2 linked regions of the Tamandua tetradactyla genome follow. The protein of the gene in region 1 purifies or fractionates together with the protein of each later gene. This does not show direct contact. Links are inferred from orthologs where the notes say so. Each region holds a gene or a part of one and is shown on either strand. Other genes may lie near its edges.

What was found.
Region 2: the proteins of VAPB (region 1) and FAM83G purify together in Homo sapiens (affinity purification with mass spectrometry; 3 studies listed by BioGRID and IntAct, counting the BioPlex papers as one, with this or other methods). This does not show direct contact. The link is inferred for Tamandua tetradactyla from reciprocal best matches to the Homo sapiens genes VAPB and FAM83G.

The regions. Positions count from the first base shown.
Region 1 is NC_135327.1:27,002,449-27,013,099, reverse strand, and holds the start of VAPB (vesicle-associated membrane protein-associated protein B/C), read left to right. Parts: upstream 1-6,333; 5' UTR 6,334-9,134; coding exon 9,135-9,288; intron 9,289-10,651. UniProt on the Homo sapiens protein: Endoplasmic reticulum (ER)-anchored protein that mediates the formation of contact sites between the ER and endosomes via interaction with FFAT motif-containing proteins such as STARD3 or WDR44.
Region 2 is NC_135332.1:2,152,041-2,159,326, reverse strand, and holds the start of FAM83G (protein FAM83G), read left to right. Parts: upstream 1-4,286; 5' UTR 4,287-4,358; intron 4,359-5,040; 5' UTR 5,041-5,158; coding exon 5,159-5,686; intron 5,687-7,286. UniProt on the Homo sapiens protein: Substrate for type I BMP receptor kinase involved in regulation of some target genes of the BMP signaling pathway. Also regulates the expression of several non-BMP target genes, suggesting a role in other signaling pathways.

The sequences.
Region 1 (10,651 bases):
TGGCTGTTTCCATCTCTTTGCAATTGTAAATAACGCTGCTATAAACATTGGTGTGCAAATGTCCGTTTGTGTCTTTGCCCTTAAGTCCTTTGAGTAGATACCTAGCAAAGGTATCTACTCAAAGATACCTTTGCTGGGTCGTATGGCAATTCTATATTCAGCTTTTTGAGGAACCGCCAAACTGCCTTCCACAGTGGTTGCACCATTTGACATTCCCACCAACAGTGGATAAGTGTGCCTCTTTCTCCGCATCCTCTCCAGCACTTGTCATTTTCTGTTTTGTTGATAATGGCCATTCTGGTGGGTGTGAGGTGATAATCTCATTGTGGTTTTGATTTGCATTTCTCTAATGGCCAGGGACATTGAGCATCTCTTCATGTGCCTCTTGGCCATCCGTATTTCCTCTTCTGGTAGGTGTCTGTTTAAGTCTTTTTCCCATTTTGTAATTGGGTTGGCTGTCTTTTTGTTGTTGAGTTGAACAATCTCTTTATAAATTCTGGATACTAGACCTTTATCTGATATGTCATTTCCAAATATTATCTCCCATTGTGTAGGCTGTCTTTCTGCTTTCTTGATGAAGTTCTTTGATGCACAAAAGTGTTTAATTTTGAGGAGCTCCCATTTATTTATTTCTTTCTTCAGTGCTCTTGCTTTAGGTTTAAGGTCCATAAAACTGCCTCCAGTTGTAAGATTCATAAGATATCTCCCTACATTTTCCTCTAACTGTTTTATGGTCTTAGACCTAATATTTAGATCTTTGATCCATTTTGAGTTAACTTTTGTATAGGGTGTGAGATACGGGTCTTCTTTCATTCTTTTACAAATGGATATCCAGTTCTCTAGGCACCATTTATTGAAGAGACTGTTCTGTCCCAGGTGAGTTGGCTTGACTGCCTTATCAAAGATCAAATGTCCATAGATGAGAGGGTCTATATCTGAGCACTCTATTCGATTCCATTGGTCGATATATCTATCTTTATGCCAATACCATGCTGTTTTGACCACTGTGGCTTCATAATATGCCTTAAAGTCCGGCATCGCGAGACCTCCAGCTTCGTTTTTTTTCCTCAATGTTTTTGGCAATTCGGGGCAACCTGCCCTTCCAGATAAATTTGCTAATTGGTTTTAATAATTCTGAAAAATAAGTTGTTGGGATTTTGATTGGTATTACGTTGAATCTGTAGATCAGTTTAGGTAGGATTGACATCTTAATTATATTTAATCTTCCAATCCATGAACATGGTATGCCCTTCCATCTATTTAGGTCTTCTGTGATTTCTTTTAGCAGTTTTTTTGTAGTTTTCTTTATATAGGTTTTTTATCTCTTTGGTTAAATTTATTCCTAGGTATTTTATTCTTTTAGTTGCGATTGTAAATGGGATTCGTTTCTTGATTTCCCCCTCAGCTTGTTCATTACTAGTGTATAGAAAAGCTACAGATTGTTGAATGTTGATCTTGTAGCCTGCTACTTTGCTGTACTCATTTATTAGCTCTAGTAATTTTGTTGTGGATTTTTCCTGGTTTTCTACGTATAGTATCATATCGTCTGCAAATAGTGATAGTTTTACTTCTTCCTTTCCAATTTTGATGCCTTGTATTTCTTTTTCTTGTCTAATTGCTTTGGCTAGAACTTCCAACACAATGTTGAATAATAGTGGTGATAGTGGACATCCTTGTCTTGTTCCTGATCTTAGGGGGAAAGTTTTCAATTTTTCCCCATTGAGGATGATATTAGCTGTGGGTTTTTCATATATTCCCTCTATCATTTTAAGGAAGTTCCCTTGTATTCCTATATTTTGAAGTGTTTTCAACAGGAAAGGATGTTGAATCTTGTCAAATGCCTTCTCTGCATCAATTGAGATGATCATGTGATTTTTCTGCTTTGATTTGTTGATGTGGTGTATTACATTAATTGATTTTCTTATGTTGAACCATCCTTGCATACCTGGGATGAATCCTACTTGGTAATGATGTATAATTCTTTTAATGTGTTGTTGGATACGATTTGCTAGAATTTTATTGAGGATTTTTGCATCTATATTCATTAGAGAGATTGGTCTGTAGTTTTCTTTTTTTGTAATATCTTTTCCTGGTTTTGGTACGAGGGTGATGTTGGCTTCATAGAATGAATTAGGTAGTTTTCCCTCCACTTCGATTATTTTGAAGAGTTTGAGGAGAGTTGGTACTAATTCTTTCTGGAATGTTTGATAGAATTCACATGTGAAGCCGTCTGGTCCTGGACTTTTCTTTTTAGGGAGCTTTTGAATGACTAATTCAATCTCTTTACTTGTGATTGGTTTGTTGAGGTCATCTATTTCTTCTTGAGTCAAAGTTGGTTGTTCATGTCTTTCCAGGAACCCGTCCATTTCATCTAAATTGTTGTATTTATTAGCGTAAAGTTGTTCATAGTATCCTGTTATTACCTCCTTTATTTCTGTGAGGTGAATAGTTATGTCTCCTCTTCCATTTCTGATCTTATTTATTTGCTTCCCCTCTCTTCTTCTTTTTGTCAATCTTGCTAAGGGCCCATCAGTCTTATTGATTTTCTCATAGAACCAACTTCTGGTCTTATTGATTTTCTCTATTGTTTTCATGTTCTCAATTTCATTTATTTCTGTTCTAATCTTTGTTATTTCATTCCTTTTGCTTGCTTTGGGATTAGTTTGCTGTTCTTTCTCCAGTTCTTCCAAGTGGACAGGTAATTCCTGCATTTTTGCCTTTTCTTCTTTTCTGATAAAGGCATTTAGGGCAATAAATTTCCCTATTAGCACTGCCTTTGCTGCGTCCCATAAGTTTTGATATGTTGTGTTTTCATTTTCATTCGCCTCTAGGTATTTACTAATTTCTCTTGCAATTTCTTCTTTGACCCACTCGTTGTTTAAGAGTGTGTTGTTGAGCCTCCATGTATTTGTGAATTTTCTGGCACTCCGCCTATTATTGATTTCCAACTTCATTCCTTTATGATCCGAGAAAGTGTTGTGTATGATTTCAATCTTTTTAAATTTGTTAAGACTTGCTTTGTGACCCAGCACATGGTCTATCTTTGAGAATGATCCATGAGCACTTGAAAAAAAGGTGTATCCTGCTGTTGTGGGATGTAATGTCCTATAAATGTCTGTTAAGTCTAGCTCATTTATAGTAATATTCAGATTCTCTATTTCTTTATTGATCCTCTGTCTAGATGTTCTGTCCATTGATGAGAGTGGTGAATTGAAGTCTCCAACTATTATGGTATATGTGTCTATTTCCCTTTTCAGTGTTTGCAGTGTATTCCTCACGTATTTTGGGGCATTCTGGTTCGGTGCGTAAATATTTATGATTGTTATGTCTTCTTGTTTAATTGTTCCTTTTATTAGTATAAGTGTCCTTCTTTGTCTCTTTTAACTGTTTTACATTTGAAGTCTAATTTGTTGGATATTAGTATAGCTACTCCTGCTCTTTTCTGGTTGTTATTTGCATGAAATATCTTTTCCCAACCTTTCACTTTCAGCCTATATTTATCTTTGGGTCTAAGATGTGTTTCCTGTAGACAGCATATAGAAGGATCCTGTTTTTTTAATCCATTCTGCCAGTCTATGTCTTTTGATTGGGGAATTCAGTCCATTAACATTTAGAGTTATTACTGTTTGGATAATATTTTCCTCTACCATTTTGCCTTTTGTATTATATATATCATATCTGACTTTCCTTCTTTCTACACTCTTCTCCATGTCTCTCTCTTCTGTCTTTTTGTATCTGACTCTAGTGCTCCCTTTAGTATTTCTTGCAGAGCTGGTCTCTTGGTCACAAATTCTCTCAGTGACTTTTTGTCTGAGAATGTTTTAATTTCTCCCTCAGTTTTGAAGGACAATTTTGCTGGATATAGGAGTCTTGGTTGGCAGTTTTTCTCTTTTAGTAACTTAAATATATCATCCCACTGTCTTCTAGCTTCCATGGTTTCTGCTGAGAAATCTACACATAGTCTTATTGGGTTTCCCTTGTATGTGATGGATTGCTTCTCTCTCGCTGCTTTCAAGATCCTCTCTTTCTCTTTGACCTCTGACATTCTAACTAGTAAGTGTCTTGGGGAACGCCTATTTGGGTCTAATCTCTTTGGGGTGTGCTGCACTTCTTGGATCTGTAATTTTAGGTCTTTCATAAGAGTTGGAAAATTTTCAGTGATAATTTCTTCCATTAGTTTTTCTCCTCCTTTTCCCTTCTCTTCTCCTTCTGGGACACCCACAACACGTATATTTGTGCGATTCACATTGTCCTTGAGTTTCCTGATACCCTGTTCAAATTTTTCCATTCTTTTCCGGATAATTTCTGTTTCTTTTTGGAATTCAGATGTTCCATCCTCCAAATCACTAATTCTATCTTCTGTCTCTTTAAATCTATCATTGTAGGTATCCATTGTTTTTTCCATGTTTTCTACTTTATCCTTCACTTCCATAAGCTCTGTGATTTGTTTTTTCAGTTTTTCTGTTTCTTCTTTTTGATCAGCCCATGTCTTCTTCATGTCCTCCCTCAATTTATCGATTTCGTTTTTGAAGAGGTTTTCCATTTCTGTTCGTATATTCAGCATCAGTTGTTTCAGCTCCTGTATCATTTGAACTATTGGTTTGTTCCTTTGACTGGGCCATATTTTCAATTTTCTGAGCGTGATCCGTTATCTTCTGCTGGCGTCTGGACATTTAGTCAGATTTCCCTGGGTGTTGGACCCCACAGGTTGAAAGATTTTTCTGTGAAATCTCTGGGTTCTGTTTTTCTTATCCTGCCCAGTAGGTGGCGCTCGTGGCACACGTTTGTCTACGGGTTCCACCAGCGAAAGTTGCTGTGGGTCCTTTAACTCTGAAAGACTCTCGCCGTAGGGGAGGTTCAGCAGCCGAAGCGTCTTGGAAGAGTGCCAGCCGGCCCGGGGGTCCGAACGCAGGGAGGGTCGCCGGCCGCTGCAGCACGGGAGAGCGCCCGACCGAATTTCCTAGTCGGCCCGGGGTGCCAAGCGTGGTGGGAGGGTGCCAGCTGTTGCAGCCCGGGAGAGTGCACTGTTCCCAGCCTGACCGGGGAGTCACGTGTTTTGAAGGGACCCCCCGGTCACTGTTCTCCGCAGTCTGGGGATTTCCGACCCAACTCTCTCAGTTGGTCCGGGGGGCCTTGCATGGTGCGGGCGCCAGCCGCCGTGGCCCAAGGGGACCGCCTGCCCAATTCTGCCAGCTGGCCTGGGAAGGAGGAAGGGAGGGACTCCAGCCGTTTGCCGTCCCGCCCGGGAAAGCCCGCGCCCCTCGGTGATCTCACTGGAGCTGGTTCTCCCAGACAGTCAGCCGTTCCAGGATGGGGTACGCCGTCCCTTTGATCTCCGTCGTGGCTCCGGGAGCTGCTCTGTATTGTCTCCACTCCCCCAGTAACTGTTCTGTTAGGTTGGGGGAACCGGGAAGGGCACTGCAACTGGAGCTGCGGAGGCTGTGTCGCCCCTCCCAACATGGCTCCTGGAACCCCAGATCCCACTTTTGACACCAAAACTGTTAAAAATATTAGATAAAATATTAATTATGGGAGTTTATTTGAGGTGTTTATCATTCATGAATTGGGCAGCATCAAAACCATATGTGTAAAGGAGCTCTACTGAGTGGTGAGAAGGGGGAACTTATATAGAACAAACACAAAAGTAAATGAAGAAATGTTCTGTTTGGCTGACATTAAGTTTCTATTTTAAATGGAAGATATACATTGACTCTGAAAGAAGTGACACAAACAGATATTAGCACACTGGATGTTCATAGCAGCACTATTTGCAATTGCTAAAAGATGGAAGCAGTCCCAGTGTCCATCAACAGACTAATGGATAAATAAAATGTGGAAATACATTTAATAGAGTTCTATGCAGCAATAAGATGAAATGAGGTCCCGAAGCATATGGCAACGTGGATGAACTTTGAGAACATTATCCTCAGTGAAATAAGCTAGACAAGAAAGGATAGAAACTATATAATCTTGATATTATGACTCTGGTAAAGATGACAATGTCAAGGCTCAGGCGAACTTTATGAGTTGCTTTGAATAATAGGCTAAGAAGTGGTCAGCTCCAACATGGAAAGTCAGTGCAGCTTCTCTGATATTTTACTCTAGTATGACCTGGGTGAAGAATTTGGGGACAGATGGGAAATGTGATGCTTAGCTGCCAACATTACTTTCTTCCTTCCCCCCTCCTCCTCTCCCTCCTTTCTCTCTTCTCCTTTCCTCTGTTTTTCTCTCTTTTAGTGTCTCTCTTTCTCATTCTCTTTTTCTTCGCTTTTTCCTTCCCTAAAAATAAAAATAATAAAAAGATATTATTAAAAAAAAAAAGATATGCATTGGCTAGTGTGGTATGCTTGTCCATTCTGATAAGCTATTTTACTAGACTGAAACTGGTCTATTACCAGGTATTGCTTATCTGCAGTTCTACAGATATATTCCATTGTTCCATTTTCTTAGATGCCCCTGGTGGGTCCATTGTTTTTGTTTCCAGAAAATCCTTTCTCAAAAAGGGGTTCCTCCCACCAATGCTGGTGACCATTTTATTTCACTTAATTTGCAGGTCTGCCACTGAGTCTTTGGAAAGTAGGGTGAAACTTCTGTGTGCTAGAGATTTCACAGATTTGCATTTTTGTAAAGTGGGAATTAAGGGTCCTTATTAAGTTAGGAACGTCTAAAAAAATTATCCTTTTTTTAAATAGAAATCTTAAACTTTATCGATTTCAATAAAAGAATAAAGAGAAAGCAGTAACTCAGACCATTTTGCAGCTGCATTCTACCAAAGTTTTAAAGTCTGTGTGCTTCTAATGCTGTTTAATATGGTCTAAAAGGTATAAGGGGAAGATTGCCAAATGCATTTTTTTCCTCCTTCTTAAAGGAATTGTCTGTTTTTCTTTTTTCTTTAACAGTTTTATTCACACATCAAACAATCCATCCTAAGTGTACAATCAATGACTGTAGGTATAATCACATAGTTAATGCATTCACTACCACAGTTAGTATGAAAATATTCTTCTTTCTTCTAGGAAAAAATATCCCATACCCCTTACACACCCCTATTATTTCATACTAAATTTATTTTAACATTTGTTCCCCCGTTATTTATTTTTATTCCATATGTTCTACTCGTCTGTTGACAAGGTAGATAAAAGGAGCATCAGATACAAGGTTCACACCCCTATTATCGATGTTTAGCTTTAGTATAGTGCCTTTGTTACAGTTAATGAAAGCATATTACAGTGTTACTGTTAACTATAATCTTCAGTTTGCATTAATTTATTTTTTTCCATATACCACACTGTTATTAACATCTTGTATTAGTGAGGTACATTTGTTCTGGTTCATGTAAAAACTTTCTTAAATTTGTGCAATTAACCACAATCATTGTGTGCTGTAGATTTCACTATGTTATAAATTCTAAACTTTATCCTTCAGCTTTCCTTCTGGTGACATACATGACCCTAGTCTTCCCTTTTCAACCATACTCATGCTCAGCCTTGTTAATTACACTCACAGTAGTGTTCTGCCATCACATGGTATTGTGCTATCCATTTCCAAATATGTATAATTCACCTTTAAAATAAATTACCTTTTAGGTGCCACTTAAACTTTACAAGTGGGGCTATATAGTCTTTAGTCCTACATGCTCCTGTTAGGCCACTATTTGGGCAAAGAAGCAAGAAGGAGTGAGCTAATATATATAATAGAGACTTTCCTAGAGTATAGAAAGAGGTAAACTTAAGGTGAATAACAAAAAGTGCTCTTTTATTTTATATGACACGTACTTTGGGAACTCATCATTCCTCAAAATGATCACAGCCCAAGCATTTGGACAGGATTAGATTGAATCTAGAGACATCATGAATATAATTATCACATACATGATAGATTATTATCCACAATTGGGGATATTTTGGATTTCTTCCTTTTCCACAGCTCATCCCTTGAGATTTTCTCTCTGGACAGTGTGCTGGTTTGGAAGGATTTATGTACCTTAGAAAAGCCATGTTTTAATCCCAGTCAGTCTTGTGGGAGCAACGGTTTCTTCTAATCCCTAGATGTATATCACATTCCAACAGCTAGCAAACTAGAACAGACAGTTTCCTAGCTGGTAGGATATAATACAACTCTGATTCAAATTGGTTCCATAACCCCACATTGGAATCTTCCTATAGGTCAGGCACTGGGTAAGATTGGGGCTAGGGAGGAAGTCCTGGCCCTTAAGGTTTCCACCCTCTCGGTGGTGAGGGAAAGGGAGAATTTGAGGAAGGAACACACATGGCAGTTCCTCATTGGGAGTTTAGAAAAAACTGTATTAATTCTACTTGGGGGTTGTATTTCACAGGGAAGGTGACATTTGAGATATGTGACTTGGCATGCTTACTGTGTATTAGATATTTTCCTGAGTGTTCATTTATTTAATTCTTACAACAAATGAGTAGGTAGAGCCTAGAGCCTAAGGTATTGTTATGATACTTGGGTTCATGACTCAGGTTGGAACTAGGATTTGAACCAAGATCTGTTTGACTGCAAAGGCCATGTTCTTTATCAGTTTGCTTGCTATGTTTCAGTTTCAATTTACTTGCTATATTTCAACTTTTCAAGGTTTAGTGGACAAGGAAGGCCTTTGGTTTTCTTATTATGTTGTTAGGAAGATGAAAGGAGGACTGGAAACAGAATCATGGGAATACAGAAAGTGTATTAAAAAGAAAAAGATTAAAAAAAAAACCAACGTGCTTTATTGTAATCTAGTAATTGTCTCATGCGGCACACTTCTGTCAAGTGCGGAGTTGCCCTGGGGCATTAGAGCAACTGGCTGACTGGTAAAAGAAGTCTTTCTACCAGTTCTGTCCTTTCCTTTAAGAACTTATATTCTATTTTGATCACTTCTCATTGTGAGTTTGTTTTGAAAATTATATGCTAATGTTATCCCTGTATGTTCTCTTTTACCACCCCAGTCCCTGCTTTCTGAGTCCTTTATTTCCTTGATGTCTGTCATCACAAACAATATGTTTCTGAGTTAATTGGGTACCATTTCAGCCTTTTAGTTATATCATTTAACATTTATAGTATAGTAGGAAAAGAAAAGGAAAGGAGTGATACCTACCTGAGAAGTTGGTATTATCATCATCTCCCTTTTAGGGATGAGAGAGCCAAGGCCCAGGACTTGGCAGAATCTGAATTTGCACCTCAAGATCTTTGAGCCTGCAAAGCTTGTACACTTTGCATTACAAAGAGAGGCTTGGATGCCCCAGGCTGGAGAAGCACTCAGCTTCCTGAGCTTTTCCTCCTCTCAAGGTGAGTAGGCTTGAACTCTATACCTCTTAACTCCTTTCAGCTCTAGCCTTGTGAACATGAGACTAAAACCTTTTTTAGCTGAAAAAGAAAGATGGAAAGCCCCACTGAGGGTGGATTCCAGGGTTTGTATTTTCCACAGCATTTACCAGTGCTTTGACCTAGTGGTTTCCCAAATATTTAATTAATGAATCCTCTTGTTCTGTTTAAAACCTCACTACTTCTACTCAACTTTCTTGGGTATTATTGAAGGTATTTTGACATTACCTCAAATTGTACATCACTTGCATGTTTTGTTTCATCTTTCAGTTATTCTTTGGGTACCTCGTTTAACTCATTGCTTTGTCTTCCCTGTTAGAATGTAAGCAGCAAAGGTTTTTGTTTCTTGAGTATTTCTTAGTAGTGGCTGGTGCAAAGTATTCTTTTCTTACTATTGTTTTATTCTGGTATTCCAGAGAATGTAAACAGCCCTAGACTTGATCATCTTTCATGTTTAGTATGATCATTTGAAATAGATGCACACACAAGAATAAAAAAGAGGAAACCAAAGGTTTGTCCTTGTGGAGACTTATTTGAATTCTCATTCTGTTGGTTGAATTGATTTGTTGGCATATGAATGTATCCTGATGGACTGACTGCCTAGAAAATCTAAATTGGTCTGTTTTGACCTTTTTAAAGTCAGGCACTGCTTTACTAATTGGATGAAAGAAAGCCATAGATCACTCCTTAGAGAATCTATAGACGTGCACAGTCAAAAATTCTCATGAAATTTGGGAGCAGGGGAATCCCATTTTATCATGGTTGCCTAGTTAACCTCTAATCTAGCTAAGGGATTGGCAGAGGTGGAAGAAACATGAAAGGTCTTTTGGAGAGTTCCAGAGAAAACTTGGTCATTTCATTTATTATTATTATTTTTTAATGAATTCTTTGTTGTCATTCCCTTTTAATGTAAATAGTTTCTTTTTCTTTCTTTATATACCTCGCATTGAACACCATGCTTGATAATTAGTCATCTTCACTAAACATCTTAAGTGCTGTCTCTTCAACCTTTAAAAAAGAAAAATTGCTCTGTTTTCTCCAGCCTTCCCTTTTTGTCTTGATAGCTTCTGGAAAGAGTAGTCTTAATCTCAAATTTCTCACCATCCATTCACTCCTAAAATCATTGCTCAGGAGCTTAAATATTGCTTCATCACTACATCTGTTGTTACATGTTTTTCACCATAGTGTGCTTTCTGTAGCATTTGCCACCCATCACCATTCCTGCTTCTTGACACACTTCCCTTGACCTCCTTAATCATTCTTTTCGGGTTTTCCTCCACACACATTTGGCCATTTTTGCTCACTCCTCATGGAGTCCTCTTGGACT
Region 2 (7,286 bases), on another chromosome or scaffold:
CTGGGATGAGGTGGGGGAAACTTTCCAGGGCATTCAAGGCCCTTGACACCTGGTCCAGCCCCTCACATCCTGGCCCCAGGCTCCAGCCACCCTGACCTGCTTGCATTTTCTCACGCCTGCCCGCCCAGCACTCTGCCGCCTCCCCACCCCCACCCCCACCCCCCATCCCGCTGGGCCAGCCTGCCTAATGCCCACCTCCACCCTTGTTTATGGCAGAAGTCCAGGCCCAGTCGCAAAGGGCTTGTCCTCTGAGGACCTCTGCTCCCCCCACCCCAAGCACGGCAGCTTCCTTCCTTGCGCTCCAGCAGAGCATGGCCAGGGCTGAATCAGGGTTGTTTGTTTACATTCTTCACCTCCCCCACCACCCCACGAGCTCCCCAGGAGCAGACACTCAGTTTGAATCATCGTGAGTCCCTGGTATCGCCCAGCCCAGGGCTGGGCCCAGCGGAGACACTGGGGAACATTTATTGAATGAATGAGTGAGTAAGTGAGTGAATGGAGGGGAGGATGGAGAGGAGGAGAGAGAGAAAGGAACCTAGAGAGAGCCAGGAAGGAGTTCAGGTACCGTTTGATCCAGCTGCCTGACACTACTAAATCCACCCTGCCAGTTCTGTAAGTGGGGGATTCTGGGCCAAAAGGGGCACAACTTGCCCAGGTCACACAGGCATCTGAGGCCACTGGGCCCTCCTGATGGGCGCTGAGCTAGACAGGCTGACTCTGGCCCTGGGAGGGACAGGTGAGGCATCGCAGCCACATAATGGCTCAGAAAACCCGAGTCAGTAGATTCTTCCCAAGTTTATTCAGCCTTTTCCTGACTCCTGGCACTGGGCACCGCCCCCTGGGCACTGCCAGCTCATGTTCATGCCGCAGGGAAAGAAAGGACCTCCTCCTTCACAGAGGCTGCGGGTCCTGCTGCCATTTCAACAAAATTCCCTGGGTTTGCCAGCTCAGCCGTGAGCACCCACAGGCCATAATGACTGGGGAGCTGGGGAGGGTCTTCTGGGCGTGCAGGCCTGGGGGCTCTCCCATGGGGCTCTGGTTCTGCATCCAACCCCACCCGGTCAGGGCCCCCACCAGCAGCCAGGGAGCTGCCCCTTCCTTGCCCATGTCCTCCATCCCCACTGCCAGAACCCAAGGTCAGCCACTGCACTCGGTCCCGGGGGCCTCCGTGCCAGCTCCTTGCAGCTTTCTGTTGCCCACCAGGAGCCTTCGACTCAGCTGCAGGAATTCTAAAACCACCAGCTCACAACCCTTCTGGGGCTCTCCCTCCCCTGCAGATGGCACTGAAGTCTCTCCGCATGCATTCAAATCCCTGCACCCTCGCCAGCACCCTCACCCTGCCACCTCCACCACCACCTCTGGGCGTCTGTGTTTGCTGGTTCCACTCCCAGAACACCGTTCCAGCCTGCAAACCCAGGGCATGTATGCTCATTCTCCTCCTCTCACGGGGCGAGTCTGAGCTCCCAGGGCCTCAGAGCAACATTGACCCGGCACCCATAGCTCTTGCCCCATGTCTGTCCTGTCTCCCCCACCACAACGACTCTGGGGTCTTGGACACAGCCAACCTCCGTCAGCATTTGTTGACTGACTGAATGATCTTCTCCCAAGGAGGCCCAGGGTGGGCCGTGGGGAGGGTGGTGGGCTGCCTGCCCTCCTCTCCCCCAACAAGTCGGCCCATCCCCGAGGCCGCTGGGGCCAGGCCAAAGGCTCCAGCAGACCTGGGTTTGAGGCCGGCTCTCCCCTCCAGAGCTGTGTGATCCGACTGATTCTCTAAACTCTCCGAGGCTGGTCCCTCCCGTGTAAAAATCCTCTGTGGACACCCGTAGGCCACACATGCAGAAAAAGAAAAAATTACCCTCGTCATAAATTTCACACCTTATATAAAAATTAACTCAAAATGGAGCGGGTCAATTTTTTTTCTTTTAGAATAAGAAAAACATGCAGAAAAAATCTTCAGATGGACGGCTAGACAAAGAGTTCTTAGAATTAACACCAAAAGCATGATCCTTAAATAAAAGTTGATAAATTGGACCTCATCAAAATTAAAAACTTTTTTTTAGCTCTGCATGAGGCCTTGCGCGGAGGGTGAAAAGCCAAACTAACTGCCTGGAGAAAATCTCTTCATACCACAGACCCGGCAAGGGCCATCTCTCTAAAATATATAAAGAATTCTCAATACTCAACTCTAAAAAACCCCAAACAATCCAGTTAAAAAATGGACACAAGACACGAACAGACATTTCACCAAAGAGGCATGGTGTCATGTCATACACATGACAAATAAACACATGAAATAAACATGCAGCATCATTAGCCACAAGGACAATGAAAATTAAAACCACAATGAGACGTCACTCTGCACCTATCAAAATAGCTAGAATTAAAAATAGGGATAACACCCAATGCTGGTGAGGATGTGGAGAAATTGGATGATGCGAACATTGCTGGGGGGAACGTAAAATGATATAGCCACCCTAGAGAGCAGTTTCGCAGTTTCTTTAAACAAAACAAAGCAAAACAACACAGGCAGTTATCGGATGACCCAGCACTCACACATTTGGGCGTTTGTCCCAGAGAAAACCTGTACTGGAATGTTCACGGCACCTTTATATGTAATAGCCCCACGTGGGAAGAACTCAAATGTCCTTTGGCAGGCGAACAGTTAAAGAAACTGCAGTCTGTCAATCTTACCGCAGAATACTATGCAGCAATGAAAAGGAAAGATCTAATAATGACAGACGCGACATCCAGGATGAATCTTCTGTGGATGGGGTAAAAAAAAAAAAAGCCAATCCCCAAAGTTTCCATACTTATGATTGCATTTATATAACACTCTGGAAATAACAAAATTATAGAGAGGGAGGGAAAATTAGTGGTTGTCAGGAATTAGGGCTGTGGGCAGGCAGAGGGAGAGACGGGGGGATGGCTCTAAAGGGGCACGAGGGAGATTTTTGTGGTAGAGGAACAACTCCATGTCTGGGCTGTGATGATAATTACACAAATCTACAAATGTGATAAAATGGCTTCAAACTCCACAAACGCACACACGCAAATGAGTGCCTGGGAGATGGGTGGCATCTGAATAAGGTCTGTGGGTTGTGCCAAGGTCATTTTCCTGGCTTGATGTTGCATCTAGTTATGTAAGCTGTGACCGCTGGGGAGCTGGATGGAGGGGTCAGGGACCCCTCTGCTCATTTTCTGAGAACTTCCTGTTAATCTCTCCCTATGCACAGGTTATTGCCGAGTGCAGAGATAGCGAGCAACCCCTGGGGCCTGGGAGGGGGCCGAGTGGCAGGGAAGACTTGAGACTGGAGGTCAGGGAGGGGGACCCAGGGGCACTGGGGCAGGAGAGGTTGCAGGTGCTGGGTCCAGGGGTGCTGGGGCAGGAGAGTGTGCAGGAGGAGAAGCCTGACAGTGGATGGCAGGGAGGGTCCGACTCCAGTTCAAACCTGGGGTGCGGTGCTCTCAGGTTGGAGTCCTAGGGACACACCAGAGGACTGCTGGACCTGGGACCAGGTCTCCCACCCTCACCGAACAGGCCCCCATCCCCTCCCTTGATCCAAGAGGCCTGAGCCCTGCTTGGATACAAGGCACCTGGGGTGGGGGTGGGGGGCGGCTGCCCCGGCGCCTGGCTGACTGGCTGTGGCATGCAACGAACCTGGTGGCCAGGTTTAATGGGCTTTGCGTCCCCACCCTGGCAGCCTGCCTTCAAATGTGCCCCCGCCCCCATAACCAGGGTCCCCAAGCCCTGGGGACGCCTGCGGAGAGGCGGGCCTCACCCAACCCACCACAGCCTGTGCCCCGCCCCCCTCGGGGTTGGGGAGGGTCCCTGGTGACGCCTTCCCCGAGGGCTCAGGCCTCAGAACTGGTACCTGCTCTATCCTACAGCTAAAGCTCCCCCCACACACCCTCCTGGTTGGTTAGCCAGACCTTGCATTACTCTTGCCTTGGGGCTCCCAAGGCAGACACAGCCCCCACAGCCTTCCCGTCCCACTTGCAAGGCCTGGGGACAGAGCAGGGACTCCAAGGCCGTCGACTCGCTGTGTGACCTCAGGGAGCGCACTGACCCTCTCTGGGTCGCAGTGTTCCGAGGAGCTCCTGCCCTTGGACCCCCGAGCTCCGTGGGCTGCCCGCACCGGGGGTGGGTGGGGCAGCTAAGAGAAGGTGTGCACACCCGCCCAACGTCTGCCGGTGAATCAGCTTCCGGCCCCGCCTCCCGGAGGCATGTGACCGCAGGTGGCCGCCGGCGGGATGGGCGGAGCGACAGTGGCCCGGGCCCGCCCCCCGCCACCGCCTCCGCGCCCAGCCGCCGCGCGGTACCCCTCCAGTCTGCTCTGTGCCCGCGCCAGCTCCTGCCGGTAAGTGAACCCCGCCCGCGACCCCCGGGGACCCCCCGCCAGGCGCTGCCGCCGGCCAGCCGCCCTTCCGGGGCTCCCAGACCCGTCCCCCGGCCCCGGACCCCTCCAGGAAGGCCCTACGGCTCTCCGATGCCTAGCACCCTGGGATCTCGAGATCCTTTCCCAGGAGCGCCCAGAAATGCGGAGCCCGCTGGGCCAGGCCAGAGACCCCAGAGTTCAGGCTCTTGCTCCCCAAATCCTGGAAACTTTGGGAAGTCCCGAGCCTGCCCTCATTTCCCTTGGAAGTTGCCTGAGACTTCGGGGAGCTCCGGAAATCCCCTGGCACCCCAAAACCCAGGCACACGGGTCCCCTCGCGCCGGCCTCGGACCCCCACTCTCACCCTCTACACACACACACACACACACACACACACACAGTCCCCATCTCGGACCCCCACTCTCACCCTCTACACACACACACACACACACACACACACACACACACACAGTCCCCATCTCGGACCCCCACTCTCACCCTCTACACACACACACACACACACACACACACACACACACACACAGTCCCCATCTCTGCCCAGCCCCTCCCACCCCCCCACGCCAGCCCGCCCCCACCCCCCCAGCCCCCGACCCGCCCCGGCGCGCCCCGCCCCCGGCCCCTGCCCTCACCGGGTCTTCCCCGCAGGTTTCTATGGACAGAGGCGCAGAGGCAGCCGGGCGGCCCCAGAGCGCGCCGTGCGCCCCCGCCGGGGCCCGGAATTAGGCTCCCGCCCCGCCGGGCTCGGCTGCCCGCGGCCGGCACCATGGCCTTCTCCCAGGTGCAGTGCCTGGACGACGGCCACGTGAACTGGCGCTCGAGCGAGGCCAAGCCCGAGTTCTTCTACAGCGAGGGGCAGCGGCTGGCGCTGGAGGCCCTGGTGGCGCGCGGCCCCGACGCCTTCCGCGAGGTGCTGCAGCGGGAGAACATCCGCGACTTCCTCTCCGAGCCCGAGCTCCAGCGCATCCTGGACACCATCCAGGTGTACGACCCCGGCTCCGAGGACCCGCGCGCCGCTGGCCGCTGCGGGGGCCCCGAGGAGGGGGACGCGGGCGGCCATGCCGAGGGGGCCAGCGGGGCGGGCGGCGGGACCCTGACCGAGGCGGAGCCGCTGCCCTCCCTGGAGTACTGGCCCCAGAAGTCGGACCGCTCCATCCCTCAGCTGGACCTGGGCTGGCCTGACACCATCGCCTACCGGGGGGTGACCCGGGCCACGGTCTACATGCAGCCCCCCATCGACGGGCAGGCCCACATCAAGGAGGTGGTGAGAAAGATGATCAGCCAGGCCCAGAAGGTGAGGGGCCCTTGACAGGGGTCCTCCAGTGGGTGACAGAGGGCTTGATGGCTCTTTGTGCATTGTTGGGGGGCAGTACCAGGCTCCCTGGACCTGGCCAGCAGCTTCCCCAGACATGGGGTGACGGCGGGGTGGTGAACTTTCTCTCACTGGTTCTCCCCTGGGATGGCTCTGACCATCCCCTCCCACCCCCCACCCCCACCCCAGGAGGAGCAGGGCCCCCTGCTGTTGCCTCCATGGGGAGCCGGAGAGAGCATGGGCTAGGGGTAGTCACAGAGCTTGAGAGGAGGCTGAGTCCCTCTGAGGCTGGCCTGGAGGTCCTCATTCACAGCTGGCTCTTTCCTGGCTGCACTGGGCATCTGCAAGTGAGGTGCTCACCCTCTCTGAGCCTCCTGACAAGAACAGAGTCTCTGTGGGCTGGGAGAAGTGCAGGGAGTGTTGGGGAGGTGGAGTAAGTGCAGCTGAGTCTTGTTCACCTGAGTTGAATCTCACCATCGGAAGGGAACTCAAGCATTGTCTGAACCCCCTTCCTGGCCCCTGCAGGCTATGCAGGGGCCCCAGTGGGTGGCTGTACCCCACTCACACATATTTGCGATGCGAGGCAGCCCAGCCATTGCCACATCTGTAACCATGAGCAAGTGCTTCTTTCTCTGAGTAGAAGTGATTTTCCTTGGATGCAGAGCACTTCCTAATGCAGCTGACAGAGGCGCCTAGCAGGCTGTGTTCAGAAGGATTCTGAAGCCCAGTCTGAGTAGTGATTGATAAGCAGCGGGTGCCCTGGCCTCAGGCCGTGACGGAGGAGGTATTAACTCGCCAAGGCTACCCCCTTCACCTTCACTGGAAGGCTGGCTCTGGGCCACCCTGGCCGACACACAGACCTGAGTGAGCCCTTGGGCAGAGGCCACAAGTGGCTTAGGTTTCCAGGACAGCCCCAAGGCAGATAACCTTGTCAGGGAACCTGGCCCTTGGCCTGCCCCTCCCCCGACTCACCGGAGTCTCCAGGCAGTTGGGACCTTCGGTTTTACGGGTCTGTAAAACGGGTCTGTAAAACGGGAGTGGTGAGGATAGAAGCTGCCTCTTTGTGCTGTTGTGCCGGCAAGGAGGAGGGGGAGAAGGAGGGGGGAAGGGAGGCAGGGGCAGTGACCTTCGACCTTCGTGGGTCTCAGGTTGAATAATCCACCCCACTCGTGCCATGGGGTAGGAAGGCATCACTGACGCCTAAGCTCGCAGAACCCAGTCCCCTGGGAGAGCCTGTTGGGATCCCATAAAAATGGGGAAACTGGGGCCCTGGGGGACGGAGCCTGATCTGCTGCACCCCCCCAGGGATACCCCCCTCTCCACCTCTGTGCCCCACCAGATACCAGATTCCAGCACTGCCTGGGAACTGGCCAGAGGCATCTAATCTTCCCCAGACAGAAAAACAGGTGACCTGGCCCCGTGATGGGGCCTGATAAGGGTGCCCGGGGCCAGGCTGGGCACTCGAGGCTCCCTTGCTGACTCCCTGGCCTCCTCCCCACATCGCCTCGGCAGGAGCTAGGGCCCAGCAGCTCTGTGCAGTCCCAGGGGTCCCCTGTAGCTCCCCCCCAAAGTCCCACAGGTT